Linked DNA regions of Pelodiscus sinensis. The protein of the gene in region 1 interacts with the protein of each later gene in a biochemical or structural test. Links are inferred from orthologs where the notes say so. Each region holds a gene or a part of one and is shown on either strand. Other genes may lie near its edges.

What was found.
Region 2: the proteins of RAP1A (region 1) and RAPGEF2 form a complex in vitro, tested with the Homo sapiens proteins (2 studies listed by BioGRID and IntAct, with this or other methods). The link is inferred for Pelodiscus sinensis from reciprocal best matches to the Homo sapiens genes RAP1A and RAPGEF2.
Region 3: of the proteins of RAP1A (region 1) and RAPGEF5, one has a biochemical effect on the other in vitro, tested with the Homo sapiens proteins (2 studies listed by BioGRID). The link is inferred for Pelodiscus sinensis from reciprocal best matches to the Homo sapiens genes RAP1A and RAPGEF5.

Annotation. Positions count from the first base shown.
Region 1 is NC_134737.1:3,068,402-3,075,620, reverse strand, and holds the start of RAP1A (ras-related protein Rap-1A), read left to right. Parts: upstream 1-4,195; 5' UTR 4,196-4,328; intron 4,329-7,219. UniProt on the Homo sapiens protein: Counteracts the mitogenic function of Ras, at least partly because it can interact with Ras GAPs and RAF in a competitive manner. Together with ITGB1BP1, regulates KRIT1 localization to microtubules and membranes.
Region 2 is NC_134715.1:59,798,378-59,805,553, reverse strand, and holds the start of RAPGEF2 (rap guanine nucleotide exchange factor 2), read right to left. Parts: upstream 3,066-7,176; 5' UTR 2,275-3,065; coding exon 2,206-2,274; intron 1-2,205. UniProt on the Homo sapiens protein: Functions as a guanine nucleotide exchange factor (GEF), which activates Rap and Ras family of small GTPases by exchanging bound GDP for free GTP in a cAMP-dependent manner.
Region 3 is NC_134712.1:199,692,796-199,700,671, reverse strand, and holds the start of RAPGEF5 (rap guanine nucleotide exchange factor 5), read right to left. Parts: upstream 3,066-7,876; 5' UTR 2,872-3,065; coding exon 2,683-2,871; intron 1-2,682. UniProt on the Homo sapiens protein: Guanine nucleotide exchange factor (GEF) for RAP1A, RAP2A and MRAS/M-Ras-GTP. Its association with MRAS inhibits Rap1 activation.

The sequences.
Region 1 (7,219 bases):
ATTTGCATATATTTTTGCCTGTACATGCAGCCACACTAAAGTTGCGGCCCTTGGCGTGTGCTGTGAGTATCATTGTGGCCTGCGGGGCTTCCAAAGTTGAGTAGCTGTGATGTAGATGGTAAACAGTATAGGGCAGTGGTTCCCAATATTTTTGATACTGGGGACCAGTAAACCCATTCACAAGATTTTGGAGGACTGGTAACATTTTTTGCATATTTGCATATTCATTAAGCAAATGCTGACTATGCAAATAAATTGTTTCTGGTCCTCCCAAAGTGCCCAGTGCCAACAGGAGCAGGCCCAGTCAACTGCCCTGGGCAGTTTCCTGACTCCAACCCCAAGATATCTACTTCACACCTGTCTGGGAGTGATAAGGTTAGAAGGTCCCTCTCAGGCCTACCGGTGACTGAGCTCATATGGGCCCTGGAGGTTGGGTGAGTAGACCTGTGTCCTCTCCCCGTTACATCTGCATTCGTGGGTGAAAACGCGGGCAGCACTCTGCCCCAGGGCATGTTGCTGGCCCTACCTGTCCGGCGGGTTGTTCCACCCCCCCATCCTGGTCCCAATCCTGGCTACTTTATCGGCTGGCGCCAGCTCCCCCGGTTGCATCTGGAGCCGGGCATTCTGTGTCAGTGTGCACAGCGACTGGCCTTCTCTCTGGACCCTAGTGCCCGTTGGATCTAGCCCTGCTGCCCGGGAGCATGCCCGGCAGAGACGCCACGGTGGTGGGCTCTCTCCCAAGAATCGTGCGTGAAAATTTTTCTGAGGACCGGTATTTTTTTTTTAAGGACTGGTACTGGGCCACAGACCACACTTTGGGAAATGCTGGCATAAGGGACAAGATGGAACCTTGCAGGACCCCGTAGCACAATCGCCACGGGGTCGAATAGCAGCCCTCTAGCTCCACCATCTGAAGGCGCCCCGACAGGTAATACCAGAACCACTGCAGAACAGCACCTCCGATACCCAACTCCACCAGGCATTCCAGAAGGATACCATGGTCGATGGTACCAAAAGCCGCTGAGAGGTCCAAGAGAATCAACAGGGACACACTCCCCGATCTATCTCCCGACGTAGGTCATCTACCAGGGTGACTCAGGTGGTTTCAGTTCCAAAACCCGGCCTAAAGCCAGACTGAAATGGCTCTAAATAATCCGTTTCTTCCAAGAAACGTTGGTGTTGCAACGCCACCGCTCGCTTGAGTACCTTGCCCAAGAAGGGAATATTAGCAACTGACGATAGTTATTCAACTCATGTGGGTCCAGGGAAGACTTCTTAAGTAGAGGTTTTATCACTGCCTTGTTCAAGGAGGCAGGAACCATGCCAGATCTAAAAGACACATTAACAGTCCCCTGGACCCAGCCAGTCATCCCTTCATGGCTAGATATAATAAGACATGAAGGGCAGGGGTCGAGTGAGTATGGGGTGGATCGCACTCCTCCAAGCATCTTGTCCACATCCTCGGTCTGCAACAGCTGAAACTATTCCAAAGAAAAATGAGAGGGCAGTTCTCTCAACTCATTCTGTGCCCCACTTCCACAGCAGAGTCCAAATCAGACCGAATGTGAGCCACCTTATCCGCAAAGCGCTTCGCAAACAGATCACAGAGGGGAGCCAAGAGTTCCTCCATTTCATCATGAGTAACAGACAATAACAGGCCTCGCACCCCTCGAAACAGTTACATAGGGCGGCATTGTGTGGATGCAATACAGGAGGAAAAGTAGCTTTTCTTCGCTGCCAGCACAGCCACAGAGTAAGCTCGCAATTCAGCTCGAACCTGAAATTGATCAGACTCAGCTCTAGTTCTCCTCCAGTGGCGTTCTAACCGTCACACAGACCGTTTTGCCGCCATCAACTCCCCAGAAAACCAGGGAGCAAACTTGGCTTGACTAGCCCAAAGAAGGCACTTAGGAGCAATTATATCAACTGCCTGGGCTACCTCAATGTTCCGTATAATACTCATGAACTATGCGCACCATCATACTTTCCTGAGATATTTATTGAACCTGAGTTGTGGCATTAGAATTAAATGGCTTGCACTCCATGGTCCAAAAGAAATTGATATAATTTTTTCTGTCTGTAAATTTATCCCAGTCCAGCAGCTATGCTTGGCTTGTCAGATCAATTCCTGATCGTGTGACAAAACTCATTACAAAGTCATCATAAGTTGAAAGAACTTTGGAAGACGGCACCAGCAAATTTATATGAAAAGCAAATGAAATTACAGTTTTTCCATTTAACAGTCATGTGCACACAATGAACACCTTATATTATATATAAAAAATCCATGCTTGAAGCTGAGAAGAGTTTCTAGGTTTGAATGAGGCTGAAATAAAAATGATGCTACTTTGTGCTTGCAGAATAATTGGGCTGAAGGCCCCAGGAGACAACAGAAGAAAATATTGTTATGGTTGCACTCTCTCTGCTGAAAAACTCCTACTTGTCTTCTGCCAAATCATGGATGAAATTCACCTCTCAGCAGGGGGAAATACAAACCCTACACATGACTCAAATACGCTCCTCGATGGTGCACTGACTTTGGGCTGGCAGGACACATGGGAGTCTATTTCACACTAGCCAAAAATTAGCTCAGTGCTCAATAGATACATTCTGCTCTTCCCAGACCATTTCGAGGTGGGGTTTTATCCTGCACGGGGCTGTGCACATGAGCTTAACCCAGCAAAGAACTAACGCATAGGAATAATCCCACTAGCAAAAAAACAACATAAAAGCCCCCCAAAAAGCATATCCTGGTGTGTAGATGTTTCCTCAAAGCTGAGCGCTTGGGCAGCCGCCCAGCTGATTAGTAGGGTGCCTGCTGCTGGCAACATGTACTTCTATTGGTGGGGCACATCTACACACGCCCAGTGCACATAACAAAATTTATTCCGCACATAGATGGAAAAAATTAGAGGAAACATTGATGTGTAGTCACTGCTGTCTTCTCCTAGCCCTGCCTCCCTGGATATTTGGTTTTCCCTGTTTTAATTTAGGCCTCAACAGGAGGAGGGTGGCTGGACCTGCTTAGCGCCCCTTTATGGTGAAGGGGCCCTGGGTGGTCTATTGAGTCTGGAGATGGGGGAGAGGAGTAGAGGGAGTTTTCCACCCACATAGAACTACTGACAGCAGAACTGAGGACAGACTATACGCTCTTCGAGGCAGGAAACTTTTATTTTGTTTGTCTGTAAAGCATGAGGTAAACAAAGGGCCCTGCATTAAAAAAAAGAGAAGAAAAAAAAGTGACTTAAATTGACAGTAAAACGAAAACGAAAACCCAGCAGCCCCTTTCCCTCTGCCTGGAATCTGGTCAATTACTGAGACCAGCAGGCACCTGATAAATTTTGTAACGGGAATTACTGATAGAAAAGCCCCAGCCTGAGCCCCTCTCCACATCCTCCTCCAAACACCCCCTCATTTCACCCCCATCCCCAGACCCCTCCAACAGCCCCATATCTTTGATCTCCTAGGGACCTAGTGCCCTTCAGATGGCCCCATCTCCCAAAGGGCCAGGTCTCTTCTAGATCCCATTCATCCCTACAAAGGGCCCCAGACCCTTCCAGATTCCCCCATATCCCCTCCAGATCCAACTCGCTCTCCCCCAGAGGACCTGGTCCCTTCCAGATCCCTCCAAGATCCCCCTCCAAAAGTTCCCTCCAGATCCCTCCACAGCCCCCTCACTCCCCACGAAAGGGCCCGGTCCCTTCTAGATCCCCCTGCCCCCCTCCCAGATCCTCCTGCCCCCAAAAGGGCCCATCCCCCCAGCACCCTACCCCATCTCCCCACCCCCACAGGGCCCACCCCCCATCCCCCTGCCCCCACAGCGCCCCCCCATCCCTCCAGGGCTCACCCCCACATCCTCCTGCCCCCACAGGGCCCGCGCCCCCCACATCCCCCCATCCCCCTGCCCCACAGCGCCCCCCCATCCCCCCACCCCCACAGGGCCCGCCCCCCCACATCACCCCCATCCCCCCGCCCCCCCAGCACCCTACCCCGTCTCCCCACCCCCACAGGGCCCACCCCCCCACATCCTCCTGCCCCCACAGGGCCCGCGCCCCCCCATCTCCCCCATCCCCCTGCCCCCACAGCGCCCCCCCATCCCCCCGCCCCCACATCCCCCCACCCCCAAAGGGCCCGATCCCCCAGCACCCTACCCCATCCCCCCGCCCCCACAGCGCCGCCCCCATCCCCCGCCCGGGCCCGCCCCCTGGCTCCGCCCCGCCGCTGCCGGGCGCCGGCCGGGAGGGCGGGACGGACGCGCCGCCGCGCAGAGCCGCCGAGCCCGGAGCGCAGGCAGGGAGCCGAGCGGGCGGAAGGCGGCGGCCCGGCGGGTGAGCGGGGCCCGCGGCCGGGGGGGCGAGCTGCGGGGCCGGGCCCCCCCCGGCGGGAGCAGCGCGGTGACCCCGACACCCGCTGGCGGGGGGCCCTGAGCGGGGGGGGCTCGGATTTGCCCCTCCCCGCTGGGGGGCGGTGGGTACCCGGGTAGCGCAGGGGCGGAGCCTCCCTCCCCCAGGGCGGGGGCAGGTGCTGCCCCAGGAAGCGGGGCAGGGGCGCGTGGGGGGCAGGGGATGAGGGGCTGTGCCCCCCCCCCAGGGGCATCGGCGCGCCCCTCCCCCCTCCCCCCCCGCGCCCACGGGGCTCTGGTGGGCTCCTGGGGCGGGCACCGGGCACGGGCTGGTCGGCCCCGAACGGGGGGGGGGGCGCCAGGCCTGACCCACGGCGGGCAGCGCCCCGGCAGCCAGCCCTGGGGGGGCTGCCACCCGCCGCTCTCCTAGCCCCGGCTCCTGCATGCGAGCCCTGGAAATGGGGAAGTGAGACCAGGAATTCCCCCGCCTGCCTCAGAGCTCCAGAGGGGGGGACCGCCAGGCGCCAGGGATGCTGCTGCACTTCTCTCTTCGGGGGAGCAGGGGGAAGGGAGCCTGGCAGCCTGGCACCTCCACCTGGTGCGCTCAGTGTTGACCTAGAAGAAACTCCCCAGATTGTGTAGTTAGGCCTGAGCGAACCTCTCTCCAGTTCTCTTACTGCTTCATGCGGTCCGGGGGTCCAGGGTGTTTCTCGGTCCTGGACCCAGAACTGAAGGAGCTAGGGAATGCAAATTGAAGGGCATCGCCGCTGCCGAAGCTATTGTAAGGGGACATAAATGGGCTGTTGTGGTTCTCATCCCTTGTCCTTGAAGATAACTTGGGATTAGTATAAAAAAATAACGCATGTGAGACAAGGCTTGGGGGGGGGGGGTCTGTGTGGAAAAGATCTATTTCAGGTGGACGACACTTGGATTTGGGTGTCGGTGTTATATTCCGAGAGTTTATTTTCCTGTTCCCACTGCCCTGAATTTGAAGAGGAAGTTTGGGAAGAGACACTGAGAGGTTTAAAGTTTTGTATAGCTCTAAAAGAAAAACATCCAACCTAACAACTGTTACCTGAATGATCAAGGCATTCAAAGCAACAAGCTAGTTTTAGATTGCTATTTTAGGCAGTGGGTGAAGGGGGGTGAGGAAGCATCTTCGTTCATTTGCATAGTCAATTCTTTATAGTGCTTCGCATACTCAAACATTTTATTACATTGTCACATTTCTGGAGGTGTCACCATAGGGGGAATATTCTTTCTCCGCTTTCTGCCAGTTTTCTATTTAAAAACTGAGGCTGAACAAGTTTCTTTCTAATTTGTAAGTTCTATCCCATCAAGTCTGGGTAGCATATGACATCAAAGGATGTATTTCAAGGGCCACTGATAGCTAAATTCTGACTTGTAGGAATCTTTCAGGATTTTTTTTCTTGGCTACGTTTGGCATGTACATGGAATATTTTAGTATATACTTCTGCTCAGTACTGAAACTTTTAACCTTCACTTGATTTATTAAGCATGGGGTGTGTTACATAATCTTCATCACTCGAAAACTTGTAAAATAGGGAGTTGACTACCACAAGAATTACCAATAGGATAGTCTTTCCTGAAGTATCCAGTAGAAAAATGATTATATGCCTCCAGATACCATCAAATTTACTTTTCCTCTCTCCACAGAACCACAAAAATTATTCATGTTGAAAGGCACACTGTTTAGCTCCAAATTTAGTGGATATTTTTGTGTTTAGGAAATTTGACAGAACCAATGGCTATAGTAAACTGTTTTATTTTTAAATCTTTCTTTGCAGTGTTTTTAACCAAGCATTGCAATCTTGTGTTAGTGTCTGAGAACCAGAAATTGAAACTGACTAGATACAAAACTGACATCTGTTTTCATTGGTCTAGTCCTAAATTGGAATTAAGTGCAAACAGTAAACAAACACCACAGGTAATGAAGCCAGAAGTAAAAAAATCCAAATTTTTATTTTCAAAATGCAAATGTGGTACCAAAACTTCTTGTTTGTGTTTTTTGTTAATTACATTGTTTTTAACTATAGTGGGAGGTTGTAATTTTGGCTTTGTGTATTGTTTGCAGTCTAAAATGTGGCACCCAATGTGTTTGACCTTTAGCAGCATCAAATAATCTAACTCATTGTGTTCCTTGAAGGAGGCCAGGGTTGAATTGTGAATTGCCCTATGTTCATCTGAAATATTTTGAAACATTTCTTCTCCTTTGTTAGTGGGCTAGCACTTGATTCTTTATCCAGTTTGTCATGTCAGACTCCTTAAGAGACAGTAAGGACTGAAGTCACTAAGAAACAGATATTAATAATCAAACACTCTGGACCTTAATGTTGTTTCTGTGAGTTTAAGTGAAAGAGGAATTTAAAGCAGAACTCTTTGGATTCTGCAGTATCTGTAACTTTTGAAATTTATACACAGCTAGTGGGGTGCACCATCTCCCAAATATGAAATACTTTCTGATTATTCTGACATCATTATCGTGTTGCTATAGTGACTTAATTACACTGGGAATGCCGTGTTCCCATCCTGTTGCTATGGAAAAGATCAGGGTTATAAATAAAAATATTTGAGGCTATTCATAGCTGTGACAGATAGAAACACCATCATTTTAATATGACATGATTGCCAAGAGTGATGGTGTATTTTAACAAAACTTTTCTTGTGCTGAGTTACAAACTTGAAATGCCAGTTCCCTAGTTTCTAACAGCTTGTCCTTTTGACGTCCCCCTCCATTGCGTTTGATAGCAGGGGTTATGAAACACTAGCTGTAGAAATCAAAAAGAGAATGTATGTATAGTTTTTAAGGTGGAGCTGAGGCAGGAAGTACTGTGCTTTCACATACTGAGCCTAAAA
Region 2 (7,176 bases), on another chromosome or scaffold:
AACTGCCATTATCTCTGCTGCTGACCAACTGACAGTCTTTTTATAATGTTCTCCCAAATCTCTTTGACTCCCATTACTGGAATTTAAGCTTCTCCCAGAAAAAGAGATCTTACTACATATTAACAAGTAGTATCCTTCTGAAATAACAGCATTCGGTTTCCAAATCTAACTTTTCAGTCACTAGTTGTGCTACTCTGATGCCTGTAGGCTTTCATACTGGTGCCAAGATTCAAGGCAAGTACTATAATAAACATTTGAAAAGGTCAAGCAAGGACACACAAACACAACTTTAACTTCACTATAATAAAAGGAATTTGTTCTAGAATGAGATGTAGAAAAGAATAATGTATTTTCATAAAATCAGGACTATCTTTTCTAACACATTTACACCATACTTTTCAACGTGATCTGACGTTGTCACAAGCTCAAGGATGTAAAACTGAATCCACAATGACTTATCTAAAGAAGGAATTCTGGATGCTGCCCCAAAAGTCAAAGTTCTTTCCTCAACCACAATTTAAAATGTCAACAGCCAATCAAAAATCTGGCAAAATCATCAGTAACCATGGTAATAAAAAATAAAACCCCTCTCTAAGATCAGCATATACTAAGTTCTTAGAGAAATAGGACAAATCTTTAGAAAACAGGACAGATGGCACTGCAACTAATGAGCAAAGTAACTCCTTGAATCATTAGCTATTGAACTACAGCTTGACTCAGGGATCAGCATAAAGCTTATTTGTCTTTAGACAGTTGGCAGCAGTAGCACATCCAGTCACCACTCCAAAGCAGTAAGAATTCACTCACCTTACGGAGACTCAAAAAACAAGTCAAAATAATTTTACACATTTTCCTCCCTTCTGTCTCTAATGTTTACAAAGCCCCATGCGCTAAAAATCCTACAGGAGTATATAAGTAAAATTGTTATTTATCCCACACATACCACATATAAGTGGGCCCCCAAGTGAAGACAGATTCAAATACAGCATTTAAAAAAACCTTCTCCCATGTTACTATGAAAGCATTTCTATTTCTGCAAGAATTTCTCCCTATTTTAAGGAAGCAAAGATTTGCCAAAAATACAACATTCACCTCTCTTATAAACGGATGGGCCAGTAATGTTGTATGCGCTATATATGTACGCAGTGAATTCAATTCCAGAATTAAACTACTTGTTATATATTAAGAATAGACACATGCTCTCAGTTTAACATTTCTTCTCTTTCCATGAACTAGCATCCTATACATCAATATTTTGGGTGAGTTAAGTTTGTGTAACAGTGAGTATGTTGCACTCCTATACAAACTATAGTGTTCAAAGTTTCTATTAACACCATAGTATCTTCTTTTAAAACACACTATGCAAAACAGAGAGGAAAGACAGCAGCAGTTACTAAATCTGGGTTTCCCATAGAGTCAGCTTTCAGGATTTATGCAACTCACAGTCAAAGAGATGTCCTCCCCCCTTCTCCTCTGTTGCTGTCTGACCACACAGGGGTTCTCTGCCCAATTTTAGACAAAGATAAAGGGAATGAACAGACCGACTAAGGGAATGTGAGCCCCCCAAAAGTAACAACAGTACTGCGAGAGAGGAGTGGGAAGAGAAATCTTAAAACTACTGCTGGCTGTGAATGAATAAGGAGTTCCTCCATCCCGTGAGTGGGAAAGGGGATTAGAGAGGTCTGAAAACAGATTAGCTGACATACGTATGTACAGATCAAGGAGTACTCGAAGCAGAGGAAATGTTTATGATGTGTGTGTGAGACAAACAAGAGATAAACAAGCAGTAGCTACGGGGAATGTTGGGGAAGGGAGGATTCATTATGTGGGAGTGGGTGGAAGATGAAAAAACTGCACTATGCAACGTGGAAGGGCATAAGGAAATAGGTACCTGTTGCCCCGTGTGCAGCACCCCGGGGGCACAGATCAGGTGATGCCTGCCTGTACCCTGGGGCTCCTATCCAGGAAGAAAAATGGGGGTCGGTGCCCGAGGTTAGGCTCCTCTTGAAAGGGAAAAGAAACAACAAAGGCTGTAGGAGCTCCCCGGGGCAGCGGGGGGCCGAGAGCTAAGAGGAGGGCGCTGCAAGGGGTAAGTCCCCAGCAGATCTCGAGGGCGGGGAGGGCTCCCTAAGGGGACACTACGGGGGAGAGCGAAGGGAGGGTCACGGGCCCCTCTGGCGCCGTTAGAGGGACACAGGGGGGTACCTGGGGGCTCCTCTCCGTCGGGTTCTTCATCACCGCCTGGCGGAAGCTGTTATCCACGTACGACGCCATCTCGTTCCGTCTCTGCCCCGGCCCCGCCGCCGCCTGCCCGGCCCCGCGGCGGCCCCTGCTGGGTGCGGGCTGGGCTGGGAAGCGGCGCCGAGCCCCGGCCCGAGGCGCGCGGCGGGGGAGCCGGGCTGGTCCCGGCGGGCTCCGCTCCCTGGCGCTGCCCGGCTGGCGGGCGCGGCCTCTCGCGGCTCCGGGTTCGCGGCCGCTGGGGGTGAAGCGCCGGGACTCAGCAGCGCCGCCGCCCGGGCAAGCCCGGCCGGCAGCGGGAGGGGCGGCCCGGGAGCTCCCGGGGTCCTGGCGCCTGGCGGCGGCTCCCGACTCCGGCTCTACTGGGCTCCGCCGTCCCGCTCCGCGGCTGCTGCGGCTGCATCCCCGCCGGCGCCTCCCATCCGGGCTGCGGGGCTGCGCTCCCGGCGGGCGCGGGGAGCTGGCGGGCGCGGCGCGGGCGGGGCCGGGCTGTCACGGGGGGAGCGGCCTCCGGCGCTGGCGGCTTTGTGCTGCTGCAACCATGGTGAGGAGCCCGCCGCACCGGCGGGGAGCGGCCAGCGGCGGCTGCAGCGCTCGGGGAGGGGCCGCGCCCAGCTCCCGCCCCGCGGCCCGGCCGACACCTCTTCCCCCGCGGAGCGTCGCCTGCTGTTTGATCCCAAGAGGGGTGTCGGGGTTCGGGTCAGCGCACCGCTCTCGGGCCCCGGGCGGGCCTGCCAGCCCCTGACCCACCCAGCTCTGCTACCACTCTCAGACCAGGAGGCTGGGTAGCCTCGCTAGGTACCCATATGGGGGCAGGCTTCAAAGCCCAGTGCCCCTACCGGCAGCCACCACTCTCCCAAGGAGAGGAGTCCAGTTCCCATGGGGTGAGAACAGGGGTTTGTGCTGTAAATGTCTTCCAGGTACTCCCATATAGGCTAGAGCAGACCCCCTGCAAGAAGTGAAAACTGAAGGGGAGCATTTTGTTGCTAGTGAACGTAAAATATGTGATTAAAGCAATAAATCTGACTTTGTGTTATTAATACAGTTTCTTTCCTAATAGCCTTTTTAAGTCATTTTGGGGAGTAGCAAAGGAAAGCCTACAATGTACAGAGGGTGCGGGAGTAGGGCAGTTGGTTGGGACTTGGAGGGGCAGGAGTCAGTGCACGAGATTGGGGAGCAGGAGGGATTCAGAGCAGGGGATTGGCGGTGTAGAGAGCAGGGGGGGGAGGGGAGTTAAGGGTTGGGACAGTCCCGTCATAGTGATCCTGCCACAAGCTGCTCCAGTTCCCAGCCAAATGGGAGCTGTGAGTGCAGCAATTGCAGACAGGGCAGTGCACAAGACAGGTTGCCAGACTCTATACCATACTCAGTTCATAGACAGATGGATTTAAACTGTGTCTGGATGTGGAAGACATTGCAATAATCTGTTCTAGCCCTGGCAAAATGATAGATTGTCAAACCTGGGAGAGGCTATTATGATAATCTGTTTTACACTTAACAGGATTTAGAATTTCATCCACAAATAGCTGCATCAAGCCATACTTTCTGAGGACAGAATATTGTTTAGAAAGACATCCAGTCCTGATGTAAAGACTTATACTGATAGAGAATACATTACATCTCTCAGAAAGGCATCCTAATGATTAAAAGCTTAAGGATGAAAGAATTTTGATTACTTATTCAAGAGAACTGCCAGAGGTTTCAATCTGTGACTATTCACACACCAGTGCAGGAACTCTTCCAGTATATTGCCAAGCTATTGTATAACAAGATTTACTGCATGGGTTATATTAGCCAGGTCCAAAGGGAAAGGTTTTACCTTCTAATAAGAGGCACATGCTGCTGCTGCCTTCATCATCTAAAAGCAGTTAGGGATCTAATAAGATCCCCCAACTGCAAACTCTGCTAACAAATGGACAAATGTCTTCAACTGGAGCCAAATATAATCTAAACCAACTCATGGCTTTCCACACTCCACAATAACTTTACCCCATGTCTTCAGTGGTATTTAAGTGTTGCTGCACCTAACAAATGGAATTCTCAGCCCCCGACTACCAGCATGGCTCCCCATACAAGAGTTGTTCATGTAAGGAAGGGATCTTCAGAAGCTAAACAAGTTGACTAGGGAATTTCCTAAACTATCCAGGAATGAAATGCCATGTTTAGGTGTTTAAACAGTGTCCTGGCTGACAAGCCAGAGGTAGGCACCTTCCTCTGCTTGGAATCTTCATCTATAATAAACCTCCAAAGCTCAGTCAGCCGCTTAAGTAGCTTATGCTCTAGCAACCAAATCTGCCTTGTGCTGTGTCTTACACTTGCACTACATTTACCCAAGCTATTGGCGGTTTGGATAGGTGGTGTGCAGTATTTGTGGTCTGTGTCCCGGCTGTTTGCTTCAGGTCTAACCAGTTTTAGGCATGCACAGAGCACACCTAAAGGATTGTCCCCTATTGGCAGAATAGGCATTCCCCTGCCTAGGTTTCAGCTTTAGCTAGAACACTGGACTATTTATTAGCTAGATCTGGGGCAGGGTGATGGGAGTAAAGGGTTGGCATCAAGACTTCAGGAGGCTCTGTGAATGCTGACCAGCAAAAACCTAGGCTCAGAGGGGACTTTTAAGCACTTGACTCCTGATTGATTTCAACTGGAATTTGGTGCCTAAATATGTTTTAAAATTTGGTTGTAATTTCTTTGGCAAGTCCACTCTTGTCACTTGTCTCTATGCTAATCAACATCAGCCAAATGTCCCGTTTGTGTCATGTTATATAAGAGAACAGAGAAAGAAAAACAAGATGTTTTAATTTACTTTTTTTGAGTCTCCTAGCGAATTTTCTCATATAGGAGCCTGACTTCATTTAAACTATGAGTTCCTTGCAGCAAAGACCAACGTTATTTGTGTTTCCCATAACATTGAGCATACCACAGCTGCTTAACAAATAATACTTGTTAATTATACATAATACTTTCAGCAATGTAGAACTGTTCAGTGGATTTGCTTTTCCAAATACTACCGTGCTATGTTATGTAAACACTGTTAACATTATAAAGGTTTAAAAAATTTTAAATGATAGCTTTTCAAATAATAGCACAAGAGTACATCTTTTAAGGTGCAAACATTACAGGATGTTTATTTCTAATTTATTGAAATTTAAGCATATGAAAAATATTTTTTTAAACAAAACCTAAATTTGAAGGCTTAAGTGAACTAGTAATTTACAGGCTAGTTTAGGAAGAGCTAGCTGACTGCTTAAGGAGTCTGTGGAGTAGCTGTGTGAAATTTACTAAATCTAGTCAGTTTCTCCATATAGGTCTTCACAGTGCTTTTTTTGTTTTAAAAAAAAAGTGCCAGCACTCCAGAAGAAAAGTTGTTGAGCTCTGACTGGAAGTGCTGGTACTGCATCTGGAGGTGCCAGTACTGCGTACCAGGCAGTACCATCACAAAAAAAGCACTGGGTCTTCCTCAATAGAAAAAGCTGCAAAAGTATACAAATTAGCAGGGTCTGATCTTAATGAAATGCTTGTGTGGCCAGTGCAGAGAATTCTGTGTAAAGTGTTGGAGTAAATGGAGGAAGTTCCATATCTCATCATCTTGATTTTCAATGCACAGGAGTTAGTTGTTTGAAAAGACAGGATGTTGTTTAAATTGACAGGACCGAAATCAATTCCCTATTCCCTAAAAATATCAGTTTTAAATGTGCCTCAGCTCTCCCCCTCCCTCCACTCAAAAAAACCAGAAAGAATGTATTATTCCTTCCAATTAATAAGGGAAGCTGCAACTGTGTGAAAGTGCCAGTTTCTCTTCTGAGAAACCTATCACCAAGCCAGGGTGCCTGTGATTCTCTTGAAATACACACACAGGCTATGTTTATACTACAAGGTTTGCGCAAACACCGGCAGAGCGTCCACACCTCAAGTGCATTTTTGCGCAAGAAAATTGACAGAACAGAGGGCTTTTGGCGGTAGAGTTATTCCTCTCCCCACAAGGAATAACTCCTTTTTGCACTACAGCTCTTGCACATAAAGGCGGGCATGGACGCCTATCGGAAAAAGCACAGGTGCTCTGATGACCATTCTCTGAATGGCCTTCAGAGCTTTCTTGTGCAAGAGTGTCTATGCAGTGTGGATGCTCTCTTGCACAAAAGCACATCACTTTTGCAATGCGCTTTGAGGTCCGGATGTGATTTTCCACAAGAAGTTTTTGCGCAAAAACTCTTGCATGAAAGGCTTCTTGCGCAAAACCCCTGCAGTGTAGACTAAGCCATAGTGTAAGTGCCACACAAGCATATGAAGCATTGATCTGTTTTTGAAGCATTTGAGGGCACTAAATCCTGTATGTTACAAGCAGAAAAACTAGTTTAATTTACAAGTGAAATGATATGCACGTCCGCAAATCAAGAGAAAGCTACCAACTCTATTTTACCATACAACTGTTATTCTTAATTTTAAGATTATATATTGACTGAGTCCCTCTAAGAATTTTAATTTGGTGATTGATCTATTTTATGGTGTCTATTACTATAGTATTTGAGAGTCACAATGGTATTTGGTTTCAGTGAAACAGTCTCTCCCCTCCCCCTCACCCCCGCCTCCCAACACTAATTATTTCTTAATTTGGATTTACTAGGTAAAAATAAATGGGGCCTAATGCAAACAGACATTATCCTTTCAACACATGATGGCATGGAATCTATTTCGTTCCGCTTAAGATTTTGCACTTGTCATAAAGCTTAAAGGTAGATATTTAAAGAAATGGATGTTGTTAGATTGTTAAGTCATATGAGTCTCAAATACGAACAATGCTCACTGGCAAAATAGGTACAAAATACTTAAAACTACAGAGATTGTTTTGTTTTTTTAAGTCAGTCCAGCATGGAACTCATGCACAATTTCTGTCAGAATAGGTTGTCAATGTAGAACTACATTTTCATGTATCTTGTA
Region 3 (7,876 bases), on another chromosome or scaffold:
GTGCCAGCACCGGCTTCCTGCTGAGGGAGGCAGGGAGCTCTGAGACTCATGGCTTGGATCCGGCTTGCAGGGGCAGGAAGCAGCTCCGTAAGCTGGAGGATTGGCAGCACAGGAAACTGCTCACCCAGTGGCTTTCTCCACTGCTTCCATTGGCCAGAATCCTGGCCAATGGGAGCAGTGAGGGGGCAAGGAGCCAGGTAAGCACCTCATCCTCATGCCCAACCCCTATCCCTCAGCCCACTCCTGTACCCACCCTCCTCCCAGACCTTGCATTCCTTCCTGCACCCTCCATCCTTCCCAGACCTCACATCCCCACTACCTCCTGCACCCATTTTCTCATCATGGGTGGTTGGCAGGTGGTCTGTGGAAAGGATTGCATTGAGCGGGGAGAGCTGTGATCCAAAAAGTTTGAGAACTACTGTACTAACCACTGCAAGCAGAGAGAGGTGACCAGTTTGTTCGAGAAAGCATACTGAAAACAGCAGTTTGGGCATGTGTAGTGGCATGGCATGCTTAGGGATAGCCATTGGAGTGCAAGCCCACCCAACCTCAGGTATAAACTCAAGTGGCTAATCCTAACTGCTACCTGTGTCGCCGTGGCCATCCTGTTATTTTTTGAACAATCAGCTTGAGCAGAGATGACATATCCGACTCCCCAGGCTCAGAGGCTAGCCCCCAACTGCTGTAGACATACCCTAAGAACAAAGTAGTAGTAATACACTGATAAAGCTGGATTGTTCCCTATGGATTCACATACAGAAGTCACACACCTCCTTTCAGTGTCACACCACTGAAGCTGCTTAGGGGTGGAGCTTCATAGGTATGTCTGCCCTACACAGATCTGTGTCTGGTTAGTCAAAATCATGCTAGCAGGGTGCAAGCTTGCACTGTGGACACTGTAGCAACAGCAAAGACTTAGAAAGCCACTCAAGCTCAAACCTTGGGACCAGGTAGGCTTAACATCTTGATCTATCATCCTAGCAGCAACATTCACACTGCTATTTTTAGCACACTAGCTCAAGATGCACTAGCTAGAGTCTGCATATGCAAGCTGGGAGGTTCACTCCTACAAGCAATGTAGGCATATTCATAGAGTCCTGGGGGAATGCAAGAATGCCATTATCTTGCTCCTCAGCAATACTCAGATCAGAGCGTTCCAGACAGATGATACAACAGTGAGCTCTACTGCTACATTGTATGGGCCACATAGCTCCTACTGGAGCCTTCCACCATATATGCCAGCAGCAGCTCTTCTTGCAGCAAAAATCCTTGCAGTTCCCAGAGGTCTGTGGGGGTGGTAGGGTCTTGGATGCTCAGAAATCCACAACACCCATTCTCTTCTACTAAGACAGAGCTAGAGAAAAACTGCAAGGTGAATCAAAGATGACAGCAATCTGGCTCCTGACTAGGGATATTAAAATTAATCAAATAGTCAACAGAATTCCCATCAACTATTTGATTAGTCAATAAGAGCACCTTCACTTTGAAATGTAGCAAGAACCCGCCCACTCCTCCACACTGATCTATGCAAACCTCTGCACATGTGGGGCACTCCACATCCATCTGTATTAGCTTGTATCCAAGGTGCTAAAAACAGACTTGCATTAGCACCTGTTGTGCCACTGGCACTGAGAAAAGTATAGTCTAGTTGTCAGAGGATGACTGGGGATTTTTGGTTACATTTCTGGCTCTGTCACATACGCGCTATGTGAACCTCGAAAAATAATTTTAACCTTTCTATACTTTGATGTCCTAATCCCAAAAAAGGGAATAAATCCTTATCTTGCAGATTAATAATGATTAAATTAGGACAGTGAAGATTCTTTATTGTGCTTTGAGATCTTCTGATGGTGCCACAGAAGTGACATATCTAGAACTGTCTAGAAATTTTCCCACAAAATATGTTTTGAGAACACGTTGATTGGCTGAAGCCAAAACTCACAGGAATGTGCCCATTTCAACAAAACTTCCATTGTGAAAGATTTTGCAGGTCCAGGATGGAATTTCTGCTCCAGGAGAGACACCCTGGCCAAAAATAGTCACTACAGGCTGGTGTCCAAAGCACTGATTCACATCAGGGGCTTGAAAGTGAATCTTCCATAACCACTCTAACCACTACTAGCCCATTCGCGTTGGGGGGTGGGCCTCTCCCCACTCCTTTTTCTAAAGAAATTTCAAAGGGCCTCTTTGGCCCCAACAGGACACATGCGGGCAGCTTGAAGGGCAGAGAAGCTAGTACCCAGGCAGCCCAGGGGGTAACTTCCAGAGCGATTCCTGTTTGCTGCGCATCCCCGAAGCACTGCTTGAGGGCGAGAGTAGAGACTAACGTGCCAGCTAAAAAGCCCCCCTCACGCCAGACTGGGGCAGACCACACAAGACGCGCCAACCTGGGGCAGCATTTGACCCTGCCAGGCCCTACCACTCTCCCATGCAGCAGAGCCCGTTTGCCGGTAGCTCCCAGGGCCGGCTCTTGCGGGAAGGGAGAAGGCGCCGCGCTCCCTGGACAGGTGCAGGACACCTGCAGCGGCGACTCCGGAGAGCCCCGCCCCCGGGCCCAAGGGAGTCAAGCCGCACGGGGGGAGAAAAGCGGCAGGGCGGAGTGCGGGGGGGCGGAGGCCGCTGGTGCCCCTGAGCTGTCAGCCTGCAGCGGAGGGGGAAGGGCCGGGCCAGAGGGTCACTCACCCGGCCCCCGGCGGCGGGGTCTTTCCTCCGCAGCGTGAGCCCGCTCCGCAGGCGGGCCGGCAGCTCCCTCAGCTTCTGCCGCAGCTGCCCTGGCGGCGGCTCGCGGTGCTGCCTGGCGCTCGGCCTGAGGCTCAGGGCGGGCTCCGCGCTCTCGCAGGGGGGCTGCATCCTGCCGGAGCCCACGGCCATCCCGCAGCGCAGCGGCCCCGGCTGGCTCGCCGCGCGCGCCCCGCTGCCACTCACGGCTCCGGGCGCTGCCCTGCCCGCTGGCGGCAGCGGCGGCGCGCACCTCTGCGCTGCGCGCGGGGCTGGGGACCGGGGGCCCGCTGAGTCATCCCGCAGGTGCAGGAAATGCTCGCGCCGCCAGGCTCTCTCCACCTTTTCCCTCTCGCCCTGCGCCTCCCCTGGGGACGCGGCTCCCTGCCCGCCCAGTGGCTGCGGCGGTGATCGAGCGCAGGTGAGTGGTAGGGCGGGGAGTAATAAAGTGCTGTTAACTGCTCGGCTTCTAGCATCCGCCCACCTCCCAGCGCGGCTACAGTGCCGCTGGGGGCAATGCTAGCGGCGTCAGGGGGCCAGCGGTAGCCCCGGGAGAAGAGCTGGGCAAAAAGTTTTCAGACACAACCCTCCCGCGCCCGCACACACACACTGAAAAATGCAGCTGGAGGTTGACCAAGTTGTAGCTTCCATGCGAAGAAGAAAACGTCATAGTAAAGCAGAGCCTCGATGGTCTGTGGCGACCTTCTCAAAATGACACTTGATGGCGTTCCCTTTCCAAATGACTTTTGCTCTCGAATGTGACTTCCTTTTTATGGAAACAGCTAAAAAAAAAAAAACCAAAACCCCTCAACGGCCTTGAAAACTAAACACACGTTTTGTGTCAGGTAAATCAAACCATTTTGGTTGGCCCCCAATGCAATTCTTTTTGTAACATTTTGTGTTGGTTAAACATTTTAATTTTAAAAACGAGCAGTTCTGTGACACCTTAGAGACTGAAAACATAATAGAGAGACTCCATGAGCTTTTGTGGGTAAAAAAGCTCATTATTCTCTCTATGTTTTGTCTTGGTCTCTAAGGTGCCACAGGACTACTGGTTGTTTTTAAAGTTACAGACTAACAAGGCTACCTCTGAGGCATTTTCATTTTATGTCAACCTAACAAATACCTTTTAAAAAAAAATTTGGTTACCAAACTGAAAAATCAATTTTTCATACAGGTCTAGTCACATCCTCTTCATTTGAGCAGGCTTGGATGCTTAAAACTCTGGCAGGAGCTCCAAGTCTTTGTGCTCTCTCATCCCTATTACACCCACTCATGGAGCTGAAACTTGGTGATAATGGTAGGAAAGTTTAGCAATATAATCCTAGTACAGACAGGGCTTTAGGAAGTAAGGAATCCAAATGAAATGAGGTCTGAGTATTTTGCTCTACTACAGTGGTTTTCAATCCCCAAATCTCACACTTAGGAAACATTAATGAATTAAGCCTCATAGAACCTTGGAGGGGGAGGTATTATCCATGTTTTACAAACATGAGTAAAATTTCCCTTATGTGAGTAAATCATTGACTTGTATCCTGTAAAAGAGTCAGGGTCCAAGAAATTGAAGCACTTATCACTGACAGAAGTGGGAAAAGAATTGCTCAATTGCTTTCTCATGCCCTTTATCCTTTTTGTCTAGATAGAGTGCAAAGTGAGATAACATGGCGCTGCTTATATACCAGCTTCCAGTTTGTTTCAGGCAATGCTGCCCTACAACAAACAAACAGATCTGAGGAATAAAAGTGTGCTGGCTTGTGTGTTCTATTGTTTTCTTCAGAAGTGTACTCTGTCCTACCCTCCTGCTGCATTCTTAGTGCCCGTCACTGTTAGGGACTGATGCTGGGACTATCTGCTGCAGGATTACCATAGATCCACCTCTCCGCATATCAGTGTGAACTACGCTCAAAAGGATTGTGGATCTCTTGTTTTTATTCTGGGTAATAGTGTGCTCTGTCCAAGTATTCAGGCATTACTATAATTACAACTATTGTAGTTACTGCTATTACTTCCAGTTATACTTCTGTGTGTTACATTAAATAATTCATTTACACTTTTCAAAGTGCATTGTGGTCATTTGAATAATAATACAATCAGAGCAATAACTAGAAGGAACAAGGTTAAATTAAGAAAAGGTAAATGTAGGTCAAAGCTCAGAAAAAAATGTCAACAGGAACATTTGAATATGTGAAGCATCTCCTAAGTAAAGTGTTTCTTGGAACATTTAAAACTAGGCAGACAAACTAATGGAAAATAGTGATTGGAAAATATACATTGGAAAATAATACTGCACTGGCAGGGTGATGGACTGGATCTGGATGACCAAATAGGTCTTCTCCATCTCTAACTTTGCAATGGGAATTAAGAGGGAATATTGTGCCTTACCTAAGGAATATGGAACCTTAGTTCACATCCCTGTAAAGGATCAGTATATGTATTGTCCTGTCCTCTAATGGCCAGCTCCCATATTCTTGAAAGCTGCACAAAATGAGGTTTTGACCCCATTAAAGTCAACTGCAGTTTTGCATATTTAGAATCAGGGAGTATTAGAGGTTTTGGCCATTTTGAATTGTGTTTGTTTTCTTTAACTCTTTATCGCAATCAAAAGAAATGCCATAATATAGTCCAAGATGCTTCATGACCAAGTGTATTTAATTAGTTATGTAATTAGAAAAATTGCAAAACACAATTATCTTGAATTAGACTCTTCCTGACAAAGCATAATAAACATTCATTTGAGACTTAAAATGTTCTGGCTTTCTAATGCTGTTAGGATAATCAATAAATTTTTAATTAACTTATCTCTTTGGCATTCATTTCAATAAAAATGAAGAATTATTGTACAGAGGTTTCAGTAACAGAAATAGTCATTGGGATATGGGGAGCCACTGAACATGCCTATAACAGCTGATGTCCCTAAGCCAGCTTCTCCTAGATGCCCCTTAAATAGCTTGCACCCAGCTCTGCCAACCCTGACAGTAAATCCTCTCAAAATAAAGGAAGACTTTCAAGAACACAAAGTCTGCACTACCATATCCCTTTCATTCTCCCAGGCATGCCTCCTGGACCAGAGCTCCATCTCATTCTCCCTGATCTGGAGAAGTCAGGCAATGAAGTAATTCTCTTCTTGCCATTTACTCGGGTTTGTCTGTAGTGGTTAGCGAAGACACTACCTATGCCGACAGCAGAGCGTCTTCCAGTCACATAGGTACTCCTCCTCAATGAAAGGCAATAGCTATGCCAACAGGAGAAGTCCTCTTATTGACATGGTGCTACTGTCTATGTTGTCAATTAGATCGGTATAACTATAAAACTTAGAAGTGTGGCAGTGTAGTATAGTCTTTCTTATGAGGGAACTGACAGATCATATGCTGGTCTTCTTCCCAGAACGCATTTTTGGTTGTCTGAGAAAGAGGTGCCCTGCACTATACTACAAGACTCCTGGTCCTGGGCCCAAAGGAGAATAGTAGCCTGGAGATACCATTTTTTCAAAAGTTAACTGTTACTCCACTTTAAGCTCTCTTATCAACTGCCTCTATCTTTCCTCAGGTCTTCTGTCATCTCCGGAATTCTTTGAATGAGGTCATCTGACCCCTGAGACTTCATCTTCTAGCCTCAAAACCGTGCCAATGCCTTTTTGTATCCTTTATTACTAAGACTTTAAAAGACGTCCGGTAGGGTGTGTGGGGGAGGAGGGGGTTAGCAATACGTCTTCCATGAAAGTCAAGGGTTTGCTTTGAAAATCTCAGGCTTTGTCTAGACTGGCCAGTTTTTCCTGGAAAAATCAGCTGCTTTTCTGGAAAAACTTGCCAGCTGTCTACACTGGCCACTTGAATTTCCGCAAAAGCACTGACTTCCTACTGTAAGGAATCAGTGCTTCTTGCGGAAATACTATTCTGCTCCCGTTCAGGCAAAAGTCCCTTTTGCGCAAAAGGGCCAGTATAGACAGTTCAGATTTGTTTTGAGCAAAAAAGCCCCGATCGTGAAAATGGCAATCGGGGCTTTTCTGCGGAAAAGCGTGTTTAGATTGGCACGGACGCTTTTCTGCAAGAAGTGCTTTTGCGGAAAAGCGTCCGTGCCAATCTAGACTCTCTGTTCCGTTAAAAGCATTTCTGGAAAACCATGCCAGTCTAGACACAGCCTCAATATATATGTCTTAACACTGAAACAAAACCACAATGTTCTCTGTCCCTGTCTATACTAGACCCAGCAGGTTGCTTAAAGGATGCAAGTCCAGGTATCTAAATAATGTCACGAGAGTCAATATACAGGGCATCCCTGCTATAAGTCGCCCTGGTACATATCCATTCCGCACTAAAGTTGTTGACGCTTGCAGGAACTGATGCATTATAAGTCCTCCCATTCCCCCCTCTTAAGTCATGCAAAAAAAAACCCACCCCAATTTGTGCAAATGGAAGTCAGACATGGGGAAAAAAATTCCCCGCTTTAAGTTGTTTCACTATAAGTCCAAGTTTTTCCAATGTATCTTGGACTTATAGTGAGGCTGGCCTGTACCTCAAACGAAGCTTGGTGCTGTCTCCACAGTGGGAGGTTGATGGGAGTAAATGCTTCTAGCTGCTTCCCTTACTTCTCATGAGGAGTAGGAGTACCAGCACCAACTAGGGGCAGCCTCAGCATTCAATTTAGCGGGTCCTTACTAGGCCAGCTAAATCAAATGCCAGAAGAGTGATCTCCAGCACAGCCAGTGGAGACATGGCCTCTATGACTGTTGTTCTAAGTCTTTTGAGATGGCCACTTTTTCCTCATCTGATCATTGGGTGGGATTCCATTTTTTTAAATTATTTTATTTGTTGTGCTTTTGAAAATTATCTAGTCACAGCACTGCCTAGAGAGAATTGTGGATTTGTAATATATACAGAAAATATCCCTTAGGGACTAAGCTGAAAATGAGGTTATAAAATGCCATCCATCCTAATTGAGTTGGGGTTATTCACACATTTTGTTTCATCTTTATAGTTTCAAGTTATCTTATTGTCTCATATGCCTTTGAAATAATTGCAAATATGTTCTCTCTCTTCATACTTCTTTGTCACACCATCTGAACTAAGCAGCAAATGACTGGCCAGATTGCCTCCCGCCCATCATGAGTGGGACCAGAAAACGCTCTGTGCTATTAGTTCTTTAACATTTCAGACTAAGA